7 linked regions of the Oryctolagus cuniculus genome follow. The protein of the gene in region 6 purifies or fractionates together with the protein of the main gene of each other region. This does not show direct contact. Links are inferred from orthologs where the notes say so. Each region holds a gene or a part of one and is shown on either strand. Other genes may lie near its edges. The genes, in order: SHQ1, EPC2, NOPCHAP1, WDCP, tubulin alpha-1A chain, RUVBL1 and NOP58.

The links.
Region 1: the proteins of RUVBL1 (region 6) and SHQ1 purify together in Homo sapiens (affinity purification with mass spectrometry; 3 studies listed by BioGRID and IntAct, counting the BioPlex papers as one, with this or other methods). This does not show direct contact. The link is inferred for Oryctolagus cuniculus from reciprocal best matches to the Homo sapiens genes RUVBL1 and SHQ1.
Region 2: the proteins of RUVBL1 (region 6) and EPC2 purify together in Homo sapiens (co-immunoprecipitation; 3 studies listed by BioGRID and IntAct, counting the BioPlex papers as one, with this or other methods). This does not show direct contact. The link is inferred for Oryctolagus cuniculus from reciprocal best matches to the Homo sapiens genes RUVBL1 and EPC2.
Region 3: the proteins of RUVBL1 (region 6) and NOPCHAP1 purify together in Homo sapiens (affinity purification with mass spectrometry; 4 studies listed by BioGRID and IntAct, counting the BioPlex papers as one, with this or other methods). This does not show direct contact. The link is inferred for Oryctolagus cuniculus from reciprocal best matches to the Homo sapiens genes RUVBL1 and NOPCHAP1.
Region 4: the proteins of RUVBL1 (region 6) and WDCP purify together in Homo sapiens (affinity purification with mass spectrometry; 6 studies listed by BioGRID and IntAct, counting the BioPlex papers as one, with this or other methods). This does not show direct contact. The link is inferred for Oryctolagus cuniculus from reciprocal best matches to the Homo sapiens genes RUVBL1 and WDCP.
Region 5: the proteins of RUVBL1 (region 6) and tubulin alpha-1A chain purify together in Homo sapiens (affinity purification with western blotting; 3 studies listed by BioGRID and IntAct, with this or other methods). This does not show direct contact. The link is inferred for Oryctolagus cuniculus from reciprocal best matches to the Homo sapiens genes RUVBL1 and TUBA1A.
Region 7: the proteins of RUVBL1 (region 6) and NOP58 purify together in Homo sapiens (affinity purification with mass spectrometry; 4 studies listed by BioGRID and IntAct, with this or other methods). This does not show direct contact. The link is inferred for Oryctolagus cuniculus from reciprocal best matches to the Homo sapiens genes RUVBL1 and NOP58.

Annotation. Positions count from the first base shown.
Region 1 is NC_091441.1:76,401,989-76,406,126, forward strand, and holds the start of SHQ1 (protein SHQ1 homolog), read left to right. Parts: upstream 1-1,338; 5' UTR 1,339-1,449; coding exon 1,450-1,592; exon of another isoform or gene 1,593-1,650; intron 1,651-2,068; exon of another isoform or gene 2,069-2,583; intron 2,584-4,138. UniProt on the Homo sapiens protein: Required for the quantitative accumulation of H/ACA ribonucleoproteins (RNPs), including telomerase, probably through the stabilization of DKC1, from the time of its synthesis until its association with NOP10, NHP2, and NAF1 at the nascent H/ACA RNA.
Region 2 is NC_091434.1:93,440,765-93,444,264, forward strand, and holds part of EPC2 (enhancer of polycomb homolog 2), read right to left. Parts: intron 2,286-3,500; coding exon 2,126-2,285; intron 1,254-2,125; coding exon 920-1,253; intron 56-919; coding exon 1-55. UniProt on the Homo sapiens protein: May play a role in transcription or DNA repair.
Region 3 is NC_091442.1:107,702,428-107,705,927, reverse strand, and holds part of NOPCHAP1 (NOP protein chaperone 1), read right to left. Parts: intron 1,497-3,500; coding exon 1,278-1,496; 3' UTR 1-1,277. UniProt on the Homo sapiens protein: Client-loading PAQosome/R2TP complex cofactor that selects NOP58 to promote box C/D small nucleolar ribonucleoprotein (snoRNP) assembly. Acts as a bridge between NOP58 and the R2TP complex via RUVBL1:RUVBL2.
Region 4 is NC_091433.1:178,527,917-178,531,416, reverse strand, and holds part of WDCP (WD repeat and coiled-coil-containing protein), read right to left. Parts: intron 3,019-3,500; coding exon 1,176-3,018; intron 1-1,175.
Region 5 is NC_091442.1:52,629,035-52,633,095, forward strand, and holds the start of tubulin alpha-1A chain, read right to left. Parts: upstream 2,801-4,061; 5' UTR 2,574-2,800; coding exon 2,571-2,573; intron 2,033-2,570; exon of another isoform or gene 1,926-2,032; intron 832-1,925; coding exon 609-831; intron 469-608; coding exon 320-468; intron 13-319; coding exon 1-12. UniProt on the Homo sapiens protein: Tubulin is the major constituent of microtubules, a cylinder consisting of laterally associated linear protofilaments composed of alpha- and beta-tubulin heterodimers.
Region 6 is NC_091441.1:110,808,894-110,812,987, forward strand, and holds the start of RUVBL1 (ruvB-like 1), read right to left. Parts: upstream 2,801-4,094; 5' UTR 2,691-2,800; coding exon 2,550-2,690; intron 1-2,549. UniProt on the Homo sapiens protein: Possesses single-stranded DNA-stimulated ATPase and ATP-dependent DNA helicase (3' to 5') activity; hexamerization is thought to be critical for ATP hydrolysis and adjacent subunits in the ring-like structure contribute to the ATPase activity.
Region 7 is NC_091434.1:37,693,962-37,697,461, forward strand, and holds part of NOP58 (nucleolar protein 58), read right to left. Parts: intron 1,013-3,500; coding exon 876-1,012; intron 1-875. UniProt on the Homo sapiens protein: Required for the biogenesis of box C/D snoRNAs such as U3, U8 and U14 snoRNAs. Part of the small subunit (SSU) processome, first precursor of the small eukaryotic ribosomal subunit.

The sequences.
Region 1 (4,138 bases), about 34 Mb from region 6:
AGGGGATACGTAATGCCTGCTGCACAGAGCTGTTGGCTGGGGAAATGAGGTCGTTATGTAAGGCTCGTGGCAGTGCTGGCACATAGTAACTACTCAGTTAGTATTATCTCCTGTTCATATTTTTTTCCTGAGTCTTAAGTGTCAAGATGATTTCCTTAGAATTAAGAGAGATAGAGAGAGAGAGAGAGAGAGAGAGAGAGAGAGAGAGAGAGGTTGAAAAGGCTTTTGAAGTTATCTGGTTACCATCACTGTCCTGGGAGATGACTTTCATCCCTTTCCCACTGATATTTAAAACCAGGGAATAAATAATCCCACTGATATTTAAAACCAGGGAATAAATAATCCTAGTTGGCCCATGCTGGTGACTGATGGGATAACAGGAAATGAAATGAGAGGACAGCAAGCCCAACGGAGGACGTAGAGAGAGAGACTGGTGGGAGAGCAAGAGGAGCACAGGCTAAATGGAGAAAATAGATGGAAGAGTAGTAGGAAAACAGGAGAAAAAAAAGAAAACCAGAAAAGATGACCTCAGATGAGTGTCAGGAGGAAAGCCAGGGAAAGGAAGGGGTTGGGGGATGCAGAGGAATCGCATTAATCAGCGCGGGCCAGCGTTCCGGGTTCTGATCCTAGTGAGATGCGTGCTGACCAGAGGACGCAGTGTAACCTCTCTGAACCCGGTTTTCTCTGGAGTTTGTAGTGCAGCTGAGACGAGATTAGTGCATGGACGCTCTGTGAAAGAGAAAGCGCTATTGCAAGAAGGGGAGGAAAGGAGGGAACTGGAAAATAGGAAGGAGGAGGGAAAGGGGGGAGGGAGGAAGGGACGGTGAGAGCGAGAGAGGAAAGAAATCGTCGACGGGCGGGTGGGAAGCGATGGAGACAAAGCGGATGCGCCCAGGCGCCCAGGCGATCGCTCTACCAGGGCAGCTTGCCAGGCACGCAATCTCTGCGTGATATCCCCGCAGCGTCTCTACGGGGCCAAGACCATCTCTAGATGCTTCAGGTGTAGCATTATTCTCACTGTAGCATAAGGAGGTGTTGTAACTTGGCCGAGCAAGTTACATCTGGGAAGTGGCTGAGATGGGATTCAAGCGCGCACCTGTCTCCTTGCCCAGCCAGCGCTGTTAAAATCATCTCTAAGAAGCTGGATAGCGGTTTGGCGGGTCTAAGACGGATTCTGGCGTTTCTTCCAAGTCTTCCTTCGAGGAAGCTCCAGCGCCCAGGCACCACTCGCCACGCCTCTGGCTCTTCCCGGCTGCTTTGAAAGCTCCACCTCGCCACTACAAGCGTCCCGTCTCCATGGAGATCGACGTGGGGCGGAACTTCCCGCTTCACGCACGCGCACTTCCGCCTTGTGCCGGAAGCACCGTGGCTAACGGAAGGGATCTCCGAGTGTGGGGACTTCTTGGAGAGTTTTGTGCCGCGGGACTGCGGCGGCCGTAGGCGGATGCGATGCTGACCCCCGCGTTCGATCTCAGCCAGGACGCTGACTTCCTGACCGTCGCCATCCGCGTGCCGTACGTCCGAGTCTCCGAGTTCGACGTCTACTTTGAGGGGGTGGACTTCAAGTTCTACGCCAAGCCGTACTTTCTCAGGTGAGTTCCGGGGGTCAACGTGGGACGAGCGTATTGGGGGCATTCGTGAGCTAAGCGCCTGTGGAGAGGGGTGAGAGAGCAGGGAAGCAGTTCCCGGAATCTTTCCCCGAGACTTGCCCGTCTCCTTTTGGGGCCAAGGAAGTGACCTGCTGGAGGTGTGCGCTCCAGGTGCTTAGAAGCCCGTTCCCTTCTCCAGCCTTGTTGATCCCCCCGTGAGCGCAATCTCGAAAGCCCTTTGCAGCGTGGCCTTTGGGCCGGGGACGTTTCCAGCTTCTGTGAAGTTGCCCTCCCAGACTTGCTCTGCCCCCTCCTTGCGCTTCGCCTTCGCTCTCCCCCTTCCCCGGCGGCGCGCGCGTGCTCGCTCGCATCTTTTCGATGACTTCCCAACCTTTTGGTCCTTTTGTTTTCTCCCAGCCCGCCTTCTGTGTACCGACCTTTATCTTGGCTGCCCGCTCCCTGCTTTCTCAAATTCTCACCTTAGCCGGCTCTGAGTCCGCGCTAGCCTCGTTCTCCTGCCTCCCCCGCTGCCCGCCTCCGCAGTCCTGCGTTTTGCCGGTTCGTTGCGGTAATTTCCTTCGGGTCTCTTTGAGCAGCCCTCAGCTTGTGTCACTTTAGATTTCTCTTCTCGCAGCGCCGTAACGACAGCGGCAGCAGCTCGAGCTGATGCCGTTCCGTGTGGTGGGCAAGCAGTGCCTTCGCTTGTGTTAACGTTGACAGCGATCCTTGGGGGTGGACACTGTGGTTCTCCCCATTCTGTAACGGACGCTGCCAGAGGCTCTAAAATGCTACAGCGTGGCGATCCCCTGGGCTCCCCTTTTCTTTTTCCAGTCTTAAGTGTGGCTCCCCTGTGCCTTCCCTGCCTAAGTACTTCTGTATTTTGTAACACAAACCTCCCTCTCCAGGCGAACTAGTTTCTTCACTGCCTAAACCAGTTCTGCTCAAGTTTCCGTTAGATCTCGATTTAATCTCTGTGCCACTGGACGCCTGAACTGTGGAGAGTACCAGACTCTATATAGTTTTTTTTCCTGTACATACAGATCCATGGTAAAGTTTAATTGGTAAGTTAGGCATGGTCAGAGATTAACAAGAAACAACCAATAATGAAATACAGCACTGTGCTTTCTGATTTCTTTATTCATGTAGTTTATTTATTGGGCTTCCGTGCTGGGATTATAGTGCTGAACAAGATGAACTCCTTCCCTCCTGTAGTGTTTTTTTTTTTTCTTTTTTTACAGGTAGAGTTATAGACGTTGAGAGAGAGAGAGAGAGAGAGAGGTCTTCCTTCCTTTGGTTCACTCCCCAAATGGCTGCTATGGCCGGCGCTGTGCCGATCTGAAACCAGGAGCCAGGTGCCCCTTCCTGGTCTCCCACGCAGGTGCAAGGGTCCAAGCACTTGGGCCGTCCTCCACTGCCCTCCCGGGCCACAGCAGAGAGCTGGACTGGAAGAGGAGCAACCAGGACTAGAACCCGGCACCCACATGGGATGCTGGTGCTGCTGGCAGAGGATTAACCTACTGCGCCATCCCCCCCCACCCCCAGGTTAAACGTTTACATTGCAGTTGGGGATGGGAGAGAAAAAGGGTGGACAAATGATGCTTCTACAAATCGTGAGTGCTATGAAGGGAAGGAACTGTGCTCACGAGGCATCAAAAGAGGCCCAGGTTTATTTAAAGTGGTCGGAGAAAGTCTCCCTGAGGGTGGCAAGACGAAGAACAGGAAGATGGTGGTGGTGCTAGTAGCACGCATTTACTGAAGTGTTACTGTAGGTTAAGTGTTCCATGTGGGTTAGCGCATTTGATTTAGGAGAGCCCCACAGAGCAGGTTTTATTGCTCACCCATTGCTGTGGACTGCATAGTTGTGTCCCTCCAACATTGAAAGGTAGAAGCCCCTATTCCCAATATGATGGTATTTCAGTTTAGATGAATGAAGGCAAGAGTCCCCATTGATGGGGTTAGTGCCCTTGTAAGAAGAGGGAGAGTCCAGGGCCCCTGTCCACCAGGTCAGGATACAGCAAGGAGGTGGTCAGCTGCAAGCCAGGAGGGGTGCCCTCCCCAGGCACTGAACAGGTTGGCAACTTGATCTTCAACTTTCCAGGCTCCAGAAGCATTGAGAAGTCAATTTCAGTTGTTTAAGCCACCCAGCCTGTGGTGTTTCTGTTAGAGCAGCCCAAAGTGACTAAGACTCCTTTGTCACAAAGGAGAGGTCAGAGGCCCAGTTGTTCTTAAGTGTAGACCTTGTTGTCATATACACTAATAAAAATATAAAACGCAATAGGATTGGGAAATAAGCCAATCAGCCCAGTCAAGTAAAAGTGTTAAAGTGAAAACCCCTTTGAAGCCTGTGAGATGATAAGGGCAGAATAAGAGGATACAAGCAAAACAGTGGAAAAGCTTTCTTCCCGCAGATCTGTCCACGCTTCAGGTAGTTGAAGCTTGGGAGTGAGCACTCAGCATGCGTACAGTTCTGTGGCCTCACACAGGTTTCTGGTTGAGTCTGGTAGTCTGTAGCGGGGGACCCATATTAATGATCTTAAGGAGTTGTGTGA
Region 2 (3,500 bases), on a different chromosome or scaffold from region 6:
TACTGTTGTCTCTGCTATTCCATTTAAACCCAATCTTTCTGGTTCATGGTTCTCTCTATAACAAGGCAAAGAGTGAAATAAACATTAATAGTCTCTACAATGTGATGTTACCACTTAATATTTACAGAAACATTTTTATGTAACTATAAATAAACATGACTTCTGAAGAACATTTCTCATTTTTCTAGAAAGGAATGAGGAGTCTTTCCTCAGCTTAGAAAATCCACTAATTCCTAATTACTTACTTGATTATCACTATTTACTCAGGGAAGGTTATAATTTAACATAGTATCTCAGGTGAATCCAATAATAAATTATTTATTAACTATTAGCACATAGGACAAGCCAAGAGTTTTACAATAGATGGAGCATATAATACTCAAAGAGAATAATCATTAGGATCACAATATTACTTAAATTAATTTTCAGTGGAGTTTAGTCTTGTTCGTGATTCACTGTTCACCTTTCAATAGTTACAGAAAGAAATATAAAAACACTTTATAAAGTTCATTGTTATAGATTTAGCTAATTCTGGGATATTCTCAATTTTAATATGTTACTAGAATAATTTTCTTTCTGTTTGTATGTAATGCTGAAGAACACATAAATTTTGATTTAAAATCTAAACTCTAGCATGGAATAATACCAAATCTAGTTTTCCAGACTGCATAAACTGCCAAAAAAAAAAAAAAATAACAGAAGAGTAACTGGAGCTTCTAAAACATACTCTGATGTATTTGCCATTTTTTTTTTTTAAGGATTCTAGCTGGCATTTAAGAATATCCTTAACATCTGCAAAGCAAGTCTGTCAACAGACTCTATTACTTGAGCAGTAAAAAAGGTCTTCCTCCTACAGGAAAGTCAGCATACAACCTGAGAAAATGATACCTCTCACACTCACACACACATGAACACACACCTTGTTATGCTGCTGATGGCGCTGCTAGGAGTAACCTTTGGCACTCTGTCCATACTGGCAGCCACTGTGGCGAGTTTTAAGGCTGTTGGCGAGGGTGCTGAAGTCCGTGTATTGATATGCACATTGACTGGAGAAACAACACTGACATTATTGAGGTGCACTGCATTTGTCAGGCAGGAATTGTTCATGGGAAGTGTTTGAGGACTGCTTGTGCACAACGCTGGGATTAAGTGGTTTGTTGTGGTGTGACCAACTGTCCTTACAAGTTGTACAGCTGAAATCCCTGGGCTAGATGATAAAGCCATATTGGTGGAATACAATGTTTTAGACGTTCCTGAAAGAGAAAAAAAATTAGTGTAATGGGCAGTTATACAACTTTGGAAAATTAGGAGTTACATATATGTTATTGTCAACATTTATATTATAATTAAATACCAAGTTAACTTTCTACAAACAGGTTTCTCCAAAGAGTTTGTGACCATTAAGTATAATGCATTCACCTGTGACAACCCCCAAACCATCCTCTTTCTGTTTGCTTACCAAAGAGGTTTTGCTGCCTCCATGCCTACACTTTGGAGGACCTTATAATACAACAGATGAAAATGACAGCTGAATTTCCTTAAGAATTTACATATGCATAGACACTGGTAAGAAAAGAAATTCAGGATCATGGGTACCTATCAAAGCAACTGGAAAATCCTAGATTCTGAGAGGCAGCTGAAGTTATGATGGGACAGCAAGTCATTGAGGACTCAGGAGATCTAAGAAGCAGACAGAGGCTGACAGCAATACGGGATCTTAATAGAAGGAGTCAAAAGTATGCATGTGAATATGTAAGGGTGGGAAAGTAAACCAAATTTCAAACTTATTATAGACTGTCCTGGATTAAATATCACCTTTTTAATCAATGCTTGGATGATTCAACAGTAACCAGCCTGAAGGATTTCCTAAGATGTGAGGTAACTGACAGTTAAAGATGCTCTACAGGTAGATATTCAATGTACACAGAAGAAACAGGGAACAGGTTCCACATGAACTCTATAGAACACCCAGCCATTCTCCTTTATCTTTCCAAAGAAATTCTGAAGCATACTGACTACTTCTTAGATATATTTTTCCCAAGGATATAAAAGAGCAAAGACCATACCACAACTCAGTGAGTTACAACTTCAAGTGAGTTAGTACACATGAAAACTGCAGCCATACCTGAAGGCTGGACAACACCATTTATGTTGTTGTGGCCAGGGTTCTGTTCCTTGACCACCTCACTGCGACTTGGAACAGGTGCACTGACCACTGCAGATGCAGCAAAGTGGGCGCTGGCTGAGTCAAGTGTTTTAGACATACAGTCAGAGGTGCTTGAGCCCTATAAAATGGACAAAGTTAAATTCTCATTTTTTTAGATGCAATTTCATAAGCATATTAAGGAATGAGGCAAGCCCAAGAGCCTAATCTTTAACTGGTACACGTGTTTAGACTGTAAAACTTACAGTCTACAAAAATACTTATTTTTGGCATATGGAGCAGGAAGTAGCTAAAAACTGGCAAGAATTATTTCTAAGAATTAGGGGATCAAAAAACTGAAACCCTTCATGGTTTATTAATTTTTCCAATAAATGTCAATGAGTGTTTTTTTTTCCCTAAAGATTTTATTTGGAAGACAGAGTTACTGAGATAAAGGGAGCCAGATCTTCTACCTCTTGGTTCATTCCCTAAATGGCCACAACAGATGGGGCTGGATCAGGCCAAAGCCAAGAACGTGGATCTCCATCCAAGTCTCTCAAATGGATGGCAGGGGCACAAGTATTCAGGCCATCTTCTGCTGCTTTCCCAGGTACTTTAGCAAGGAGCTGGATCAGAAGCACAGTATCCTGGATTTAAACTGGCACTCAGATATAAGATGCCAGAGCTGCAGGTGGCAGCTCACCCACTATGTCACAACAATGGCTTATTCTCAAGCACTTTTAAAAGCACTTCTTGGGACCAGTACTGTGGTACAGTGCATTAGACTGCCACCTGTGATGCAGACATTCCATATGAGCACTGGATAGAGTCCCAGCTGTTCCACTTCTGATCCAGCTCCCTGCTAATGTGCCTGGAAAAGCAGCAGAAGATGGCTCGAGTAACTGGGCTCCTTCCACCCATGTGGGAGAACTGGATGAAGTTTCTGGCTTCTGGTTTCAGCCTACACAGCCTCAACCATCATAGCCATATGGGGAGTGAACCAGCAGATGAAAAATCTTTTTCTCCTTGTTTCTACCTGTCACTCTGCCTTTCAAATAAATAAAATAAATGTTCAAAAATGTGTGATAGGCTTGCTACTACAGGTAAAATGAAATCAGAGATGGCTAATCATTTTTATCAGAGTAAAAACCTTGTGAAGTAGGCTGAAAATGCTTTAGACTGGTTATCCAAGAAAAAGCTAACACAGCTAAGTTTAATGTCCAGTCTTCCTTTATTCTGTATAAAGCTGTCTGTTACTATGCCAACAACCCATGACTGTACACGTCACAGTCACTGAAGTTTTCATGGTGCTGGACTCAGGATCTTCAAGGAAGGTGTATTCACTCTACAAATTAAA
Region 3 (3,500 bases), on a different chromosome or scaffold from region 6:
TCCTCCAGCTCTGCGGAATCAGAGACCGGCTGGAAATTCTCAGGTCTCTTTCCTGGGTAGAAGTCAGGCCCACGGCAGCTGAGATCTCAACTTTAATAAGATCAGTCGGGAGGAAGACAGACCGTGCTGGCCCAGGACCACTGTGACTGCTGGGGGGGGAAGCAGCAGCTGCCTTTCCCTGTACTGTGCCTTCTGCCCTCCCTGTGGGGTCTCTATTTTCTCTATCAAGAGCTGCCACACTGTGGGCAACTGGGTGGAACAGTTTTAATAGCTGAGCCAAAGAGCTTTATTTTATGGAAAGCAAACACAGAAAGCTACTTTTCCCCACCAGTAAACTCTCCGAGCATTGTGTCGCCCGCTGTGATGACACCACAGAGAGTCAGTTTTCCTGCTCAAACAAGAAAGGAATGTTTTTTTGAAAGGAAGATAGATATGTCTGAGGATGGCTAAATATAAGTCATTCTTTTATTTGTGAAAACATTTTTCCTCTTAAAAAAACTTCTCATTAAACTCATTTTGATAGTGACAAATAAATTAGACTTTATAATAACCTTAAAAAAACTAGGTTCTTTTATCCAAAAGGATAATTTCAAACAAAAACAAACTGGTGATTTGTTTTTTTACCTTAAAATAACTTTGGTATTTCTGAACTCCATGCTGAAGAACAAAGAGGCCAACAGATGCACTTGTCAGCACACACAGTTAAGCTTTCTAAACACAGTGTCTCTTTAGCACAGGATCAACAATCAGCTTACCACTGGAAGAAACCCAAATGCTATTATATTTCAACTCTTGCAGAGTCAGCTTTGAGTTCTCTGAGAAGCAAAATATACTTGGTATTACGTGTGTGACATCAAATACGCAGCAGGCCATCAGCCTGAGGCCGCCCCGTTCTTTGAGACCCTATGTGACACACCACAACTACTTCAGCACCTACACCTACTTCAGAACTACATTCTTCTAAGAGCTGGGTTTCAGACAAACAGCTGAGCTCTGGCCAATCACAGGCAGCCAACTGATGACATCATAACCAAATAAGGCAAGAACCTTGGGCTAACCAATCACGTTACGCCTGCACTTCACTTCCCTGGGCCGCGGGCCACGCTGCAGAAAGGAGTTCTCTGCCCACGAACTGTTCTTGGCGCAAACTCTGTCCACATGAATAAAACGCACAAGCACTGTAGATACCTGGAATCCCAACCAGCCGGCGACCCACGTTCTCGTTCACAGATGTCGCAGGCTTCTATCACCTGTGTCTTTTCCCATCATTTATTTCATTATTTCTTTTTTTTACTTGCTGGACTGTCCAAAACTTCAATCTTGCCTTTTCCACCTTCCGAATTAGGAAGCTTAATGTTATCTTCAGTGACTTCACGAGGCCCGCTGTCACCCTCGTCCTCGGAGGAGGAACTCTCCCCGGAACTGTCTCCCGAACTCGCTTCTGAACGGTCCTCTTCCTTCGAATCCAACGGATTCATCTCAAACAAGGCCACATCCTGCAAAAAGTGCCAGGAGAGAAGCCGTGTCAGGGAAGTTCCCTAAAAAGCTGTCACAAAACAACACTGGGAGAATCAACATTCAGCATAAATATTAATGTGTGAGGAGCAAGATGCTTTTTTTTTCCTAGCATTTGTTTATTTATTTGAAAGTCAAGGTTAGAGAAAGAAGGAGAAACAGAGAAAGATCTTCCATCCGCTGCTTTATTCCCCAGATGGCCACAACGAACAGGGCTGGGCCAGGCCCAAGTCAGGAGCTTCACCCAGGTCTCCTACATGGATGGTGGAAGCCCAAACATGTAGGCTGTTTTCTGCTACTTTTCCCTGGCCATTAGCAAGGAGCTGGATTGGAAATGGAGCAGCCAGGACACAAACTAGTGCCCATACAGGATGCCAATGTCCAAGGGAAGGCTTAACCTGCCATGCCACAATGCTGGCCCCAACACACTATTTTTAGAAATTTAATTGAAAGGCAAAGTGACAGAGGGAGATAAACCTTCCATCTGCTGATTCACTCCCGAAATGGCCTCAACAGCTGCGGCTGAGTCAGGCTGAAGCTGGGAGCCAGACACTCCATCTGGGTGTCTAGTGTGAGCGGCGGGGACTCAAATACCTGGGCCATCACTGGGTGCTTCCCAGGAGCAGACACAGGAAGCGGGGCCAGAAGTGGCACCCTGATATGGGATGCCAGCGTCAGAGCGGCCGCAGAACCCACTGCGCCACAATGCTGGCTCCAGGGCCAGGAAGGTTTTTAATTCAACGCCTCGATTCCGTGCTTTTCCTGCCAGGGTCTGTGACAACTAGCACTCACTGCAAGTCTAAAAACCAGTCTCCCACAGCATGACTTGATATCTCCTGAACACATTCAAATATTCAACAACATTCATCCAACCAATGCGAATGGGAGTCAGGCACCACGCTAAGTGCTCAGGACTCAACAACAAAATTAAAACAGGTCCCTTCCTGTCGTGAAATATGTTTCTGGACAAGGACCAGCAAATTCCAACCTGCAGGCCAAATTCCGCCCCCTGCCTGCTTTTGTTCAGGTCCTAAGCTAACAATGGCTTTTATTTTTAAGTGGGGGAGAGGGGGATAGGAATACTATTTTGTGAAACATGAAAGCTCATCAAATTCAAATTTCAAACTCCCCAAGCTGTGCGTATTCACTCATGTAGCATGGACGGCTGCACGCACGTCTCAGCAGCAGGGCTGAGTAGCCACAACAGAGACAGCCCACACCCGACCTCGCACACCAAATGTCTGCTGGCCCCTGATCTGCAGGAGAGAGACAGACAAGGAGCAAATACATCATGAGGGTACTTCAAAAGTTTGTGGAAAATAGAATTAAAAGAGAAGTTTATTTTGGTGCAAAAAAATGAAATCCATGCATAGTTTTTATTTTATTTTTTTTATTTTTTATTTATTTATTTATTTATTTATTTTTATTTATTTATTTTTTTTGACAGGCAGAGTGGACAGTGAGAGAGAGAGACAGAGAGAAAGGTCTTCCTTTGCCGTTGGTTCACCCTCCAATGGCCGCCCCGGCCGGCGCACTGAGGCCGGCGCACCGCGCTGATCCGATGGCAGGAGCCAGGAGCCAGGAGCCAGGTGCTTTTCCTGGTCTCCCATGGAGTGCAGGGCCCAAGCAGCTGGGCCATCCTCCACTGCACTCCCTGGCCACAGCAGAGAGCTGGCCTGGAAGAGGGGCAACCGGGACAGAATCCAGCGCCCCGACCGGGACTAGAACCCGGTGTGCCGGCGCCGCTAGGCGGAGGATTAGCCTAGTGAGCCGCGGCGCCGGCCATAGTTTTTTTTATAATATGCATTTTCCATTAACTTTTTGAAGACCCTGTGTACGTATGGATTTCAAAAAAGTTTACACCCAAATAGGGGCAGGGGTTGTGACACAGGAGGTTAAGCTGCTGCTTTTAACATTGCATCCGTATCAGAGCACTGGTTCAAGTCCCAGTTCCTCTGTTTTCAATCCAGTTTCCTGCTAATGCA
Region 4 (3,500 bases), on a different chromosome or scaffold from region 6:
TTTGGACAGGCAGAGTGGACAGTGAGAGAGAGAGACAGAGAGAAAGGTCTTCCTTTTGCCATTGGTTCACCCTCCAGTGGCCGCCGTGGCCGGCGCATAGCACTGATCCAAAGCCAGGAGCCAGGTGCTTCTCCTGGTCTCCCATGCGGGTGCAGGGCCCAAGGACCTGGGCCATCCTCCACTGCACTCCCAGGCCATAGCACAGAGCTGGACTGAAAGAGGGGCAACCAGGACAGAATCCAGCACCCCGACTAGGACTAGAACCCAGTGTGCCGGTGCCACAGGTGGAGGATTAGCCTAGTGAGCCGCAGCACCGGCCAAGTATACTCTTATAACAGATAACATGGAACAAAAACTACTGCTTCTGGGGTATTTAACACAGCACTTAGGCAGCCCATACTGAAGTGCCTGGCTTGGCTCCCAATTTTCCAGCTTACTGCTAAATGTACCCTACAAGGCAGGCTCAGGTAACTGGGTCCCCACCACCCCTGGGGAGACACTGATGAAGTTACTGGACCCTGACTTCCACCTGGCCCAATCCTGGCCACTGTGGAGTGAACCAGAGAACCAAAATTTTCTCTCTGCTTTTCAAGTAAAAATAAGCTTTTTAAAAAATATTGCTTCTAATTATATATTATTTGAAACAGTATCTTCACATAAGCATTTAGGTGAGTCTTATAATTTATTTACATGTGTAACTTATTTTGTTGTTAAAATAGGATTTCAAAGATATACAATTTGTAGCAAGATGAAATGCTTTAAGAATGTCTATTAATACTTCTAAAAAGTTTTATTAATTGGGGCGAGTATTGTGGGTAGGTTAGGCCACCACCTGAGATATTTGCATCCCACATTGGATCACGTCTCACCTCCACTCTGCCCAGATTCCTGCTAATGCACAGATAATGACCCAAGTACATGGGCCCCTAACACCCACACGGGAGACCAGGACAGACTTCCTGACTCCTGGGTTCACCTGGCTCAGCCCCTGCTATTGCAGGCATTTAGGGAGTGAACCAACAGGTGGAAGATCCTTCTCTGTTTCTGCCTCTCCCTGTGTCATTCTTTCAAACAAAGAATATTTGAAGTAATTTCTTTATTTATTTGGAAGGCATAGGAGGAGGGAGAGACACTTTAATCTGCCTGTTTGGCTGGCAGCACCCTGAGGCAGTTACCTGGTATAGCACGTGAACATACGGGGGCTCCTGGGAGCGAGGGTACACAGCCGAGGGCTTCTTCCCGTTCTGGACAAAGTCTGTGAGCTCAGAAAGACTGCGCTGCATTTCCGTCAGCTTCCTGGACAGCGATTCCAATTCCTTACACAGCTGCTCAGTCCCCTTTTCCCGTTCCAAGTTCTTTTTTGAAGGCACTTCAGGAGTTTCCGGCGTGCTGGTGCCATCTGGGGCTCTGCTGGGTCGCGGCTCTGTCGCCCAGGCCCAGGCAGGCCTATGGAGCATTTCCAGGGCTACGGAGCCATCCCCAGTACTGGACAGAGGGCTTCTGATTTCTTTAATAAGAGCTTTTCGAGGCCCTCCACTCCGACTGCTGGTATTCCCTGTTAACAAGAGCCCTCCACGCTGGGGACAAACATTTGGGGAAGGACTTTCAATGACCAGTTTCCTATCTGCTTTCTCTAACAGAGCGCTGAAGGTAGAACAGGCGCTCCGGCTTTCAGTCGACGTCGCTGAAGACGGCTCTCCCACCGTGACTTCCCTCACAGTCAAGCGAATGGCGTACTGTGCAGACTCTGAAGAAGGCAAGAAGGCCACATCGGTGCAGCTCGGCTTTCCTACCAAAATCAGTAACAACCTGTCTGTCAAGAAGCACAGGCCTTTTGGTCTTTCGCTGCTCTCCAACTGAATGTGCTGAACGTTCCGCATTGAAGAGGACACGACAGAATAGACCAAAACTGTGTTCCCAGTATTGGAAGCCACTGCCACCGCCTGTGCTTTGGGATGGCATGCTATCAGATCAGGAACCAGAATGCCCGGAACGCGGACCCTTCCCGTCAAGGTAACTGTCTTCTCGAAGGCCACGAGGGCCATATGTGAAGAATCCTGGCCAGTTCCTGTCCAGGAGGCCTTTTTTCTGAGACAAATCAGAGAACTCCCCTCAGACCTGGGTCTACTGAAAGAAATATGAGTGAGATCTAGCAGATCTGTGGAGGGGGACACTGGTGATGTTTCAGAATCGGTTTCAGAAGCAAGTGCCCCCTTATCCACAGAGGGTACGTCATCAGCAACTAGAAAAGTATCCAGGCCAGGGTTTGCACCACTAAGTGGGGCCTCAAAGGTTTCAGATGCATTTAAGCTGCAAATCTTATCTAGCGGAAGCTCAGTGGCTACTGCAACCTGTGAATCCACAGTGGCTGTGATGCAGCGGACTGAGCTGTCCACGTCAAATACTGGGGACAAGGAACACCTGTGCAGAGTCTTCTGGGCACTGTCCCAGATAAAAGAATGCAGGCAGCTGCCCACTGCCACCACCAGCCTCTGGCCATCCTGGGTCCAACAAGCACAGTGAATGCGGCCCGGGGTGCTGATGTTCACACTCACCCGGGAACTGTCCCACTGAACGTTAGGGAACACGGAGACATCCCGTGCAGTCAACACAGCCAGGACAGCGCCGTTCGGGTGCCACACACAGCCCTGGGGCAGAACGGGCAGTGACTGTCTAATCTCACACGTCTGAGACATCAGCCCCTTGCTCTTCTCTGTTGTGCTGGGCCCCAGCTGCCACACAGAGACATGCTTCTTGTGCTGGACAGCCAGCAGACTGGGCGCATCAGCTGCACCACACGGGGCCCAGCACAGCCCACAGACATGCTCAAATTGTCCAATGACTTTGGAGTCCCCGACCTTGACCTCCCCACTGTGAAGGCAGCAGTCAGTCAGGACCACCTGATTCCCATCAGTCCAGGCAAGGCCGTGAGTGGGGTGAATGGCTTGATGGAGTGCATTCAGTCCAGTCCTGAGCAGTTTTCCTTTTCCCAGCTCCACCATTTCTGATAAACACGATCTGAAATAATTAAGAAGGAAAGTAACCCCATGAAAAGACACATTATAGTATATTTTATAAGACAATTGACTTGAGGCTTTTCACAGGTTGATATCGTGGGAGATAAAGGGACAGGAGGAATGTCACAAATTAAAAGATTACGGGGTGGGCAGGTATCCTAACAGTTAGGAAGCCTACGTCCCAAGTTGGGGTACCTGGGTTCAGTTCCCGGTTCTAACTCCTGATTCCTGCTCAGGAAGGCAGCAGTGATGGCTCAGTGATTAGGTTCCTGCCACCCATGTGAGGACCTGGATTTTCCTGGCTCCTGTGTTTGGCATAGGCCAGCCTCAGCAGCCATTTCAGGAGTGAACCAGGGGATGGAAGATCTTTCTCACTCTCTCTCTGTTTCTCCCTCTCTCTATTACTCTGCCTTTCAAATAAATAAAATAAATCTAAAAAAAAAAAAAAAGTAGTACATGTCCATTTCAATGAAATGCAAGCAC
Region 5 (4,061 bases), on a different chromosome or scaffold from region 6:
GCACTGGTCAGCCTGTTTAAAAGAGAGGAATAGAAAAGATTAAGTCTTTGTTGTCTGTGATACAATCATAGTAAATAGTCTCACTTTTCGTACATCTCTAAGAATTTAGATCTTACTTTAACAAATGCTTTTTAAAAAGCGAAGACCTTGGAATTACTCAACATTTCTTCATTTAAAAATTCTCAGTATTTACAAAATGATATCAGATAGTTCATGTTTTAATTGAATTTTTAAAAACCTTTTTTCAATTTCAATTCTGTTTCAACCAAACAGCATCCCTTAACTTACTAATGTACTTTATTGTTGAGAGGAAACATACCAGCTTGCGAATTCGGTCCAGGACGAGGTCAATGATCTCCTTGCCAATGGTGTAGTGCCCGCGGGCATAGTTATTGGCAGCATCTTCCTTGCCTGTGATGAGCTGCTCGGGGTGGAAGAGCTGGCGGTAGGTGCCGGTGCGAACTTCATCTGGAAGAGGGAAGCAGACCAGCCACCTGTCACTGACAGCCTGCAGGGCCCCGGGGTGCCAGTGGCTCCCCCCTCACAGAATTGTCCCAGACCTGTCCCAGCACCCGGGGCTCTCACTGAGGCCACGGAGGCCAACTCACCAATGACCGTAGGCTCCAGGTCTACAAACACGGCCCTGGGCACGTGCTTGCCAGCGCCCGTCTCACTGAAGAAGGTGTTGAAGGAGTCGTCTCCTCCCCCAATGGTCTTGTCACTTGGCATCTGGCCATCGGGCTGGATGCCGTGTTCCAGGCAGTAGAGCTCCCAGCAGGCATTGCCGATCTGGACACCAGCCTGGCCGACGTGGATGGAGATGCACTCACGCTGTGTGAGGGAAAGAGAAAAATATATATAAATTATTTTGTATTAGCATTTTGAATTTTCAGCAAATTTCTAAAAGTATTTCTAGTAATTAGATCTTCCTCAAATTTATTTGCAGTTTTATCCCTAATATGATAGAAACGATGAAAGAAAAGCACCTGCTACAAATACTGCAGATGGGTGTGGTCTGAATAATAATGTCGCCTTGGCACAGTTTAGCACATGGTGCAAGCCCATTGTTCACAGAGCCATGCTTGAATGGAAGATTTTTTTATGGCTTCAAAGCACAGATTTTGTAAAATGAAGTAAATTAAATTCAATCCAATCATGGATTGGAATTCATTTTACTGCTTTTTTCCCCCTTTAACTGGAGATTAGTTTCTTCTGCAGAGGACTTAGGATTCCAAGAGGCATCTGTACTGCAGCTGCAAGCCACACCCTTCTGCAGTCTGCCTGCAGGATCCATCAATACTAGGAGTTATTAGAAGCTAGACAAAAGTCTGCCTCTGCATTGCTGCACTGCCGTTATTTGCTGTGCCTGGCGCTAGCCTGTACTGTCTGCTACATTATTTAACAGAGCAAGCTCTATTTCCAGCAACTGCCTATATGATCTCATTGTGCTGTTTTGCTAGTTCTTCCCCTGACCCAGCCTGGGACCATGCTCCTGAATCGAAATGAATTAATGAAGACACCCTAGAACAAAAGACGGCTGGAGAGCAGAATGTAATTCTTTGTCTGCAGCAATTGTGTTACTTTAAGTTTTTACAGAATCGCCTCCACTGTAAAAAACTGAAAAATTGTTAGTATTTTTGAAACAACAGTTTGCGAGTTAGGAAGAAATGTTATATGAGAAGCTAGCAAAGAACAAAAGCCCAGTGAAAGGACAGTGAAATATGTATTTAAAGCAACAAAAAAGTGTTTTCTTTCTGAAATTCTTTACCCACCACATAAAATTCTTACTCCTCATCCCACAGAGATTGTCACTTTTAGGGCTGCAATTTTCATTGTCTGCTCCCTGGGGCGGGGGCGGGGCAGGCGTTCCCGACCGCAGCCCAGCAGGCACCCAGGGCGGACCCTGCGCCCCCCCACAGCCCGGCCCCGCAGCCCTCAAGGGCGTGGCCACGCTGGACCAGACTTTAAAGGGCTTGTGAATTGGGATTCTGGGCCTCGAGAAAACAATTTTTTTTCATCTGAGCTTTAGCAGGTAATGAAAACCCTTTTGAAGTCTTCAGTTCCGCGGTGATGCAAGGCTTTTATTCAAGGCTTCCCCGTGACCGCGGAGGCTGAGCGAGGGCGAACCCGGTCCGGCGGCTCCAACACCGGGGAAGCCAGAAACAAACAACCCCGCCCCTGCGCCGCCCCGGCCCCAGCCGCTAGTAGACGGCTGTCTCTCTAGAACGCAAGGGTCTTGCGCCAACCCGAGGCTTCCCTCGGTTCCCGTCCTCCTCTCCGCGCCCAGCTACACCCAGCGCCCCCGGGCTGCAGGTCCCCGGGGAGCCCCACGAGCGCGGAGCGCACGCCCCGCCCGGCTGCGGACCCTCCCGCCCCGCCGGAGGGGCAGCTGCGGCCCCGGGGAGTCCTCGGCGACAAACACTCCCTGGCGTCGCCTTTGTTCGTCCCGGCCGGGCCCTGGCTCCGCACTGCGGCAGCGGCAGGGCGTAGGGACCGAAAGCAAACAAAGCCACCCTGGACAAAAAAGGCTACAAAGGGCTCCCCGGGCCGCCTGGGGGGCCGGCGCTTACCATGGTTGCTGCTGCGCGCGGAGGCCGAGAGGGAGGCTGCTGCTTCTTACAGCGCGACTCTTAGGCGGTCGATGTAAGAGAACCTGCGGCTCGGGCGGTGGCGGCCGCCTATATACAGCCCGGTCGCCATGGGGATGGGCCGGGGCCTCTTCCTGTTGGTCCAGACCCCTCTCTCTGCCCGGAGAAGCCGCGGCAGAAGAGTGCTGATTGGTGCAGGCGACATGGGATGAGGTAATCGCTCCCCCACCCGTTTTCCCCCAGTATCCATAGACTGCATCCTTCAGACAAAGAGACCGAGCCAAAGCCGGCAGCCCAGCATCCATTACGGGGTGGGGCTCTCGGGAGGGGCGGAAGGGAAGAAAGAGGACTGCGGCTAGATCATTTTCTATCGCTTCAGTCTCAACCTGCAGCTAAAATCACCTAGGTACGGTTTCAATCGTAGCATTTGTGTTGAGATGGAATCTTCGTGAAGAATCGCCCCCTGACAGTACACTAAGCTACATTTGGTTACGAACCAGCATCTCGAATTGCTTTAAAAATAAAGTGGGAAAGACGGGAGCGATACTCAAAATGGTTTGAGTAAATATGCTTTCCCTTTCTCTCTTATTTTAATTAGAAAAGGACCCGGTAATACAGTCATCCAAAAAAAAAAAAAAAAGGCTCTGCAGGTTCAATTAATGTATTTTCATATCTTCTTTTGGGCACAGACACCCAAATAGCTCAACAAAATGGGTGATGGGAGGCATAGCCATACCGCATAAAAGAACACAAAAGGTTCTAGCATTGCAGTCGGTGAGAGCTAATGGACACATGAGGGTTAGCTGATGAGAGATACTCATTTGCCAAAAGACTCTGTAATATATTTTGTGAGATGTAGAAATGAATCATCGTTCCCAATACAGAATTGGGAAAACACAAGGAGAAAGAATTGACTGCAGAAACCGGTATCCCTTGTGTGTGCAATTATATTTCTGCATTGCTCGCCTTTTGGGAAAGTTACAAACAAAAAAGAGTAACCAAAACACTAAATTAAAAAGAAGACAAGAAAGATGTAGGATGCAAAAAGAGGACCACTTTGTATTGTTGCCTCCATCTGCAGGCAACTCTGCAGTCTCAGTTCAACCGCAGTCCATTTTTATATAGTGCTTATAAGAATGGGGTCCACACCCTCCTAACTGTGGGAACCTTAGCCGGCCTCACACCGCTGCTATTCAGCTGGAGACTGGTGGCTGCCCAGAGGCCTCTTGGGGACAAAAAAGGCTTTGCTTTCCCCCCTAGGAAATGGTTTGCTGCTCGGAACGGCTCCATTCTCATCAAGGATGGGCTATGCAAAATAGGTCTCCGGGCTGTGCACCTCTTGCCATTGTGGATGACATTTCAGAGGTAAAGAGATTTGTTTGACTATCAAAAATAGAAATTTCTGTTTTTCCTTTCAATTTCCAGCAACTGATTTTCGGGGGCTGCATTACTACAGCGCCCTGTGGAGCCCAG
Region 6 (4,094 bases):
AAATTCTATCTATATGTCCTTATGCACATTTTTTCCAAGAGGCAGATTAATAGCTCTCATCAGATTCCCAACTAACCCACTAAAGGTTCAGCATCAATGATACTGGGGCCAGTGCCGAGGTGCAGCAGATTAAAGCCCCGGCCTGCAGTGCTGGCATCTCATATAGGTACCAGTTTGAGTCCCAGCTGCTCGACTTCTGGTCCTGCTCCCTGCTAATGTGCCTCGGAAAACAGCAGAAGATGGCTCAAGTCCTTGGGCCCCTGCACCCACGTGGAAGACCCGGAACAAGTTCCTGGCTCCTGGCTTTGGATCAGCTCAGCCCTGGCCGTTGTGGCCATTTGGGGAGTGAACCAGTGGATGGAAGATCTCTTTTACCTCTCTCTGTAACTCTTTCAAATAAATACAATAAATCTTATAAAACAAAAACAATCCCTGATACCAGCACCTAGATGGCCATCAGTGAACTGTGCAAAGCCAACACTGGACGTGAGGGTAAATCTGTGGCACCACTAGATCCACCGATGCCTTCTGAATCCCCAAGATTAAAGTATTCAATTCCCTGTCAGTGTATTCTACACACACACACACACACACACACAAATGGGTTACCAGTCCTCAGACACTGTAGAATATTTGACACAAAGGTGTAAGGATGAGAAAGTCACAGTACTGAGGACCCACATCCCAGGATCACATAATATAAGCTTTGTTCCCTTGAATTAATAACTGATACAAAACCTAAAAGGTACCTTCTCCTTGCCTGAAGGAAGGCAGTGGTCATACTGTTCCCTACTGACAAGATCTTGTGAACGCGTTTGCTCTCTCTATTCCTTGTGGACTGTGAAGTACCTCAGTCACACACTATAGCAGCCCCTAAAACGTGTGTGCAAGGACTGTGTGTGCACGTGCTAGATTCACTGCTGCTTCAATGAGCAGAGTGCCCGTTACAGAGCCTATTAGGTATTCTTCAGATGCTATATTGCTAAAAAGGATGGAGACTTGCTGTGGTCTCCCATATAGTCTTCATATGATCCTCAGCACTGGAGCTCCTGGGAAACTCAAAATAAGGCGGAGACGGCTTTCCAAACTTTGCACTTGTAACTCTCTTACAGACAGAACCTCTTCCATGTATTCTCCTTCAGTTTACCCTCCAGCTTCCCTGCAGTGAGACACACGGTGAACCCTGACATCGAAAAAGAACCGAACAGGCCTTAGAGTCCATGTTGGCTCTCAGACGAGCACACTGAGCGCCAGAGAGGCTGCCGACACCACCAGCCCCATACAAGAACCTGGCAGCAAAGGTGGGCCTGAGAAACACAGCATCAGAGTTCGGAGCGTGGATTCTGCAGCCACACAGACCTGAGTTTAACTCCTGGCTCTACCGCCCACCAGCACGGGGACCTTAGCCCACATAACCTCATCGGCCCTAAAGGGTTTAGGGGTGAGCTGTATGGATGTTTGCCATCTACTCTGAAATGTCAAAGTGGACTGGCAGCTGGATAGATGAATAGATGCGTGACAAAGCAATGGCAAAAATATTAATTGTAGATTTTTGGGCAGATATCTACTGAACGAGCCAACATTTCCTACGTTGAGGAATACAGTACTAGAGTGGGGGAGCAAAATTATTAGACTGCAAGTGAATAACAAGACAGTGGGAACACAGCTGCTTAGCATGGTGCTTGGCCCAATCCATGCTAGCTGCTTGCAGTAACAGGTGCTTTGTTGAGTCAGGGTCAGACGTTTCCCTACTGGAAAGATGATGCTCAAAACAGAAACCAGGGGCTTGTCTTTGGCCCTTTCCATGAGCAGCATCGGGCTGAGAGGCATGTCTTCACTTCATATAAAGTGCAGGGTTTTGTAGCTGTCTAGCCTCTAGGGCAGGGCTCTTAGCCTGGAGCGCAGGGGGCTGAGAAAGGGCGGCAGAAACACATGGACGTGCGAATGCCAGCTTTACCCTTTAAACTACAGTGGCAAGTGGACTAGCGGCCTCTCCCATCCTTATTTTTTTGCCGGTAAAACAATATTGTAGGGGAATGGACTTGGCATCCCTGTCACTTTAATAAAATCAGGACCGGAGCGACCAAGAAAGATGCTTGCAGGAGTGGGTCAATCAGATCACTCCTCTCACAGCTCCCGGGCCTGGGAACCAGAGCGAGCTTTCAAACTCCTACAGTTTCCCTGCCATGCCGACAAAACCCTGCACAGAGGACCCCTACCAGGACACAGTCATTTTATCGGCCCACACGTTTATCCTCTCAGCTCACCGCACGGAAATGTAAGCGCCGGGAAAGCAGGGACCTTTTCTATCCTGTTCCCCGCCGCATCCCGGCGTCGCCAGCCGAGGCCTGGCACGCAGCCGGGAGCGCCATCAACACCTGTCGGTGAACTGGCACAAACCGCCCCCTGCTCCCCGCGGCCCGTCGCCTTTCTCCCACCCCCACCCTGCCCTGCGGAAATGCGGGGCAGACCCCCGGCCCCCGCTTCAGCGGCTGTGGCGCCGCAGCGGCCCTGCCGGAGCCCCCAGCTCCCCGGTCCGCCCGCCACACCTCTCGCGCGTTCTCCTGGCCCACGAGCCCTGAGGCCGCCTGCTTGGCCAAGCCGCTCTCGTCCAGCCCCAGCCCCTTCACGTGGCTGTGGGAGGCGATGCGCTGCGTCTTCGTGGTGCTCTTCACCTCCTCAATTTTCATTTTTGCAGGCGACGGGAGCCAAAACCAACGTGGAAAATCAGGACCTACAGCTGCGCGCCTGGCGCCCGGGTAACCATGCGGCTGTTACCACGGCGGTTTGCAAGGGCCCGCCCAGGTCCTTGCTCTATTGGCGGAAGCGGAAACGCCTCCGTTCCCCATTGGTTTAAGGCCGCGTCCATCGCGATTGCCGGTGGAACCCCGCCCATTTACTTCCGGCTGTGTCACTGGGTTGAATTTCCCCCGAGCCGCCACTTCCTGCCCCGGCCGGTGGCGGGAAGGCAGAAAGGTAAGTCACGGTGCGAGTTTGGAGGTGGTGCTTCAAATCTGGATTTTAATCGTTCCATCTAATCTATTATCATACTTAAACGTCACGCCTTTCCGCGGAGCTCAGGTTATGGCCTCAGTTTGGACATGCAGGAACTGAGGCGAGCTTAAGCTTTGACTTTGGGTTGGTTACTCCGAAGTTTTCCAACTCCCAAGCGTTTGCACGTGCCTGCGAAGGTCCCGCTCAGCCAGCCATTCCCAACGCTGCTCCGCTCAGAATCCTCCGTGGAACTGGCTTCTCTGCTTCTCTCCTCCACCCTCCTCCTCTGCTTAAGTTGCCTGCGAATAGCGTTGCACAGCCCTGTAAGGTGGTATAATGCCTAACGCAGATAAAAAGGCTCATGAAAAAAGGTCCAGTGACCTGCGCTGGAACACACAGCGATGAGCAGAACGGGAAACCCCAGAGGAGACTGAGCCCGTGTAACCCTCAGCCCATCCCAGCACCTCAGAAAAGACCATCACTCTCCTGTCGGCTTCATAATGGATTCAGCACCACTGGGATGGAAGCTTCTGACGTTCTTCAGAGCCCCGAGGGACGGGGGCCAGGTCTTGGAAGGCTAAAGTTGTTAGTGGTAGTGTGTGATTAATCAGCCCTAAAGACACCCCCTCAGGACACCCAGAGATGCTCAGCGTATCATTGACAGGCCTGGTCGTAAGTGTTGCATAAAGAACTGTTCCTTTCAGGGTGTGGAAGGAAGGCTTTCCACCAACGAATATCAAAGTGAGGTGCTCTGTAGCAACAACCTGTGTGTGTTGTCCAGTGAGGAGGAAAGACCGGTTTTACATTTATTATTTTAAGCCCTCAAACTCTTCTCTCTTTTGGCACTGAGCAAAGAGAAGGATTTCCTGGCAGCCAAAAGAAGGGGAGGATGCAGAGGTTTTTAGGGCTCAGAGGAAGCTCCTGGACCACTTGGTCCAGTGGCTTTCAAAGTATACTCCCTGGAGTTATAGAATCGTTTTGTGGCCAGAATGGGTAGTGAAGGGGAAGGCTGAGAATTTAGGACACTACCTCCATTATACCCCAGCACCCACTCCTTGTTCCACCAGAGCTGCTTTGGTTTTTTATGCTATTGACCTGGT
Region 7 (3,500 bases), on a different chromosome or scaffold from region 6:
AATAGGAAGAAGTGCCGGCGCCACGGCTCACTTGGCTAATCCTCCGCCTTCCGTGACAGCACCCCGGATTCTAGTCCCGGTTGGGGCGCCGGATTCTGTCACGGTCGCTCCTCTTCTAGTCCAGCTCTCTGCTGTGGCCTGGGAGTGCAGTGGAGGATGGTCCAAGTGCTTGGGCCTTGCACCCCAATGGTAGACCAGGAGGAAGCACCTGGCTCTTGGCTTCGGATCGGTGCAGCGCGCCGGCCGTAGCAGCCATTTGGGGGTGAACCAACGGAAGGAAGACCTTTCTCTCTCTCTCACTCACTAACTCTGCTTGCCAAATAAATAAATAAATAAATAGGAAGAAGTATTATGCCAAGATCAGAAAGTATACATCCTGGGACTGGTGCTGTGGCATAGCGGGAAAAGCCACTGCTTGCAGTGCCTGCATCCCATACGGGCGCTGGTTCAAGTCCCGACTGTTCCACTTCCAATCCAGCTCTCTGCTATGGCCTGGGAAAACAGTAGATGATGGTCCAAGTCCTTGGACCCCATACCTCTTGGGAAACCAGGAAGAAGCTCCTGGCTCATGGCTTCAGATCAGCCCAGCTCTGGCCATTGAGGTCATCTGGGGAGTGAACCAGCAGATGGAAGACCTCTCTGTCTCTGCCTCTCTGTAACTCTGCCTTTCATATAAGTAAATAAATCTTTTTCAAAAAATGAAAGTATACATCCTATCACAACTTGGCATGTATGAATATACCCTACCACATTTATGTCCATCTTGGACATCATCTTCCTCATAAGACTTAATTAGTCCTTGTACCATTTTTAGTCCAATGCTATTACATTTATTGGACCAAAACAAACTGACTGTATTTTCTAGTGATTCTCACCTGTGGGCCAATCCAAGACACATAGCTGCCATTTCACGTGGCTCTACCCCAGGGATTAATCCATCCATCTGTGAGCGGATTCCTCTCATAAGCTCATTAACAACAGGGCTGTGAATACAGCTGAGATGCAACTTTTCCTAGAGGAAGAAGAACAAATGTCTTTAAGAAAGCTTTACTGAATCTATTTCTCAAATATTAAACATGAATTTCTCAGTCTGACAAGTGTAGCCTCTAATGGGTTTGTGTAAAAAACCTTCTACACATTTATGGTAGAAGTCAATTATGATATAAGCTTCCTGAAAGACAGCTTGAGTGTATGAACCAAAAGCTATAAAAGATAAAAGCAACTTGATTTAATAGTTTCGTCCTTGTTTGTTGGTTTGAGGGCATCTTTTACTACTTTACGTTAAGTACAGCATTTTAATAAAAAATACAAGGCGGCAGGTTGTTGTGGTGCAATGGTTCAAGCTTCCACCTGGGATGCCCACATCTCATATTGGTGTGTTGGTTCCAGTCTCAGCTCTTTCACTTCCAATCTAACTTCCTAATAATGCATACTGGCTGGCAGCAGAAAATGGCTTACGGTCTGAGACCCTATCAACCAAATGGAAGACTTGCATGGAGTTCCAGATTCCTGACTTCCAATTGGCTCAGCCCTGGCTGTGTAGGCATCTGGAGAGTGAACCAGCAGGTGGAAGATGAATCTCTTTCCCTCCATCTTTCAAGTAGATGCAAATAAATATTTAATAAAATAGATACTTTAAATATTACATATTTAAAAGGAAATACTATTCAGAGGGTACTAAATGAGAAAGTTCTGAATCTTAGCCTCTTTCTCTACAGACAAATATAGAATCTCTTAAATATTTCCAGATACACGTATGGTAATATATACATAAATCTACAAGTCTTATTTTTTAAAAAAGATTTATTTATTTGAAAGGCAGAGTTACAGAGAGGGAGAGGCAGAGAATTTTCCCTTCTGCTGATTCATTCCCCAAATGACCACCAACAGCCAGGGCTGAGCCAGGTGGAAGCCAGGAGTTTGGAATTCTGTCCAGGTCTCCCAAAGCGGTCCAGAAGTCCAAGTATCTGGCCCATCTAACTTCCACTGCCTTCCCAAGCACACCAGCAGGGAGCTGAATTAGAAGTGAAGCAACTGGGGCTGGCGCTGTGGCACAGTGGGTTAACGCCACGGCCTGAAGAGCCAGCATCCCATATGGGCACCAGTTCTAGTCCCGGCTGCTCCACTTCCAATCCAGCTCTCTGCTATGACCTGGGATAGCAGCAGAAGATGGCTCAAGTCCTTGGGTCCCTTGCACCCGTGTAGGAGACCCGGAAGAAGCTCCTGGCTCCGGATCGGCACAGCTCCAGCCATTGCGGCTATCTGGGGAGTGAACCAGCGGATGGAAGACCTCTCTTTCTCTCTGTCTCTACCTCTCTCTGTAACTCTTTCAAATAAATAAAATAAATCTTAAAAAAAAAAAAAAAAAAAAAAGAGTGGAGCAACTAGGACACAAAGTGATGCCCATATGAGATGCTGGTGTGGTGGGCAGCAGTGTAACCCACTGGACAACACCAGCCCCGTATACAAGTCTTTAAAATCTACAGAGTTCTATTTCACTGTATGTATACAATCATATGTATAAAAAAAACTATATACTGCACTCTGCTTAAGAATAAAATAAAGAATAATAAATAAGAATAAAATAATAAATATTTCAGAAAAATTTGTTACACAAATGATAAACAGCATAAGGCAATTTTTTAAAAGATTTTATTTACTTATTTAAGAGGAAGAGTTACAGATAGCGAGGGAGAGACAGAGAAAGGTCTTCCATTCACTGGTTCACTCCCCAAGTGCCTGCAATGGCCAGAGATGAGCCAATCCGAAGGCAGGAACCAGGAGTTTCTTGCAGGTCTCCCACGCAGGTGCAGGGGCCCAAGGACTTGGGCAATCTTCTACTGCTTTCCCAGGCCATAGCAGAGAGCTGGATTGGAAGAGCAGTAGCCAGGACTAGAACTGGTGCCCATATGAGAGCCAGAGAATTAACTTAATGGTCACAGTACCAGCCCCCAGCATAAGGTTTTAAAAGAGAAACTCAAATGAAAAAACTTTAAAAAACACCCATAATGCGACCAATTGGCAAAATGACTTTGTGTCTGATTTATACTACATGTGCACACAGCCACTCAAGCAGTAGATTACCACACTATCTTCTTTTTCTTTTGAGCATAATACATATATATATCAATTTGGAATTAATGTTTTATGGCCTTAGGATATGAAAGTCTGCTTTCTTCCTAAATGCTAAAATGTATGGGTTTTAACAGAAACACATGGCACTTCTCATGGCACTCATGGACACTTCAAAGGATGTAGAGACTTATCACAGAAAATCTTATTGTTTGACAGTGTTAGAAATAATAAACTTGGGGCCAGCGCTGTGATGCAATGGATTAAGTTGCCTATGAAGCCAGCACCCAATATGAGCGCTGGTCAAGCCTCAACTCCACTTTCAAACCAGCTTTCTACTAATGCACTGGGAAAGCAGCAGAAGATGGCTCAAATACTTGGGCCCCTACCACCTACATGGAAGACCCTGATGAAACTCCTGTTTGGCC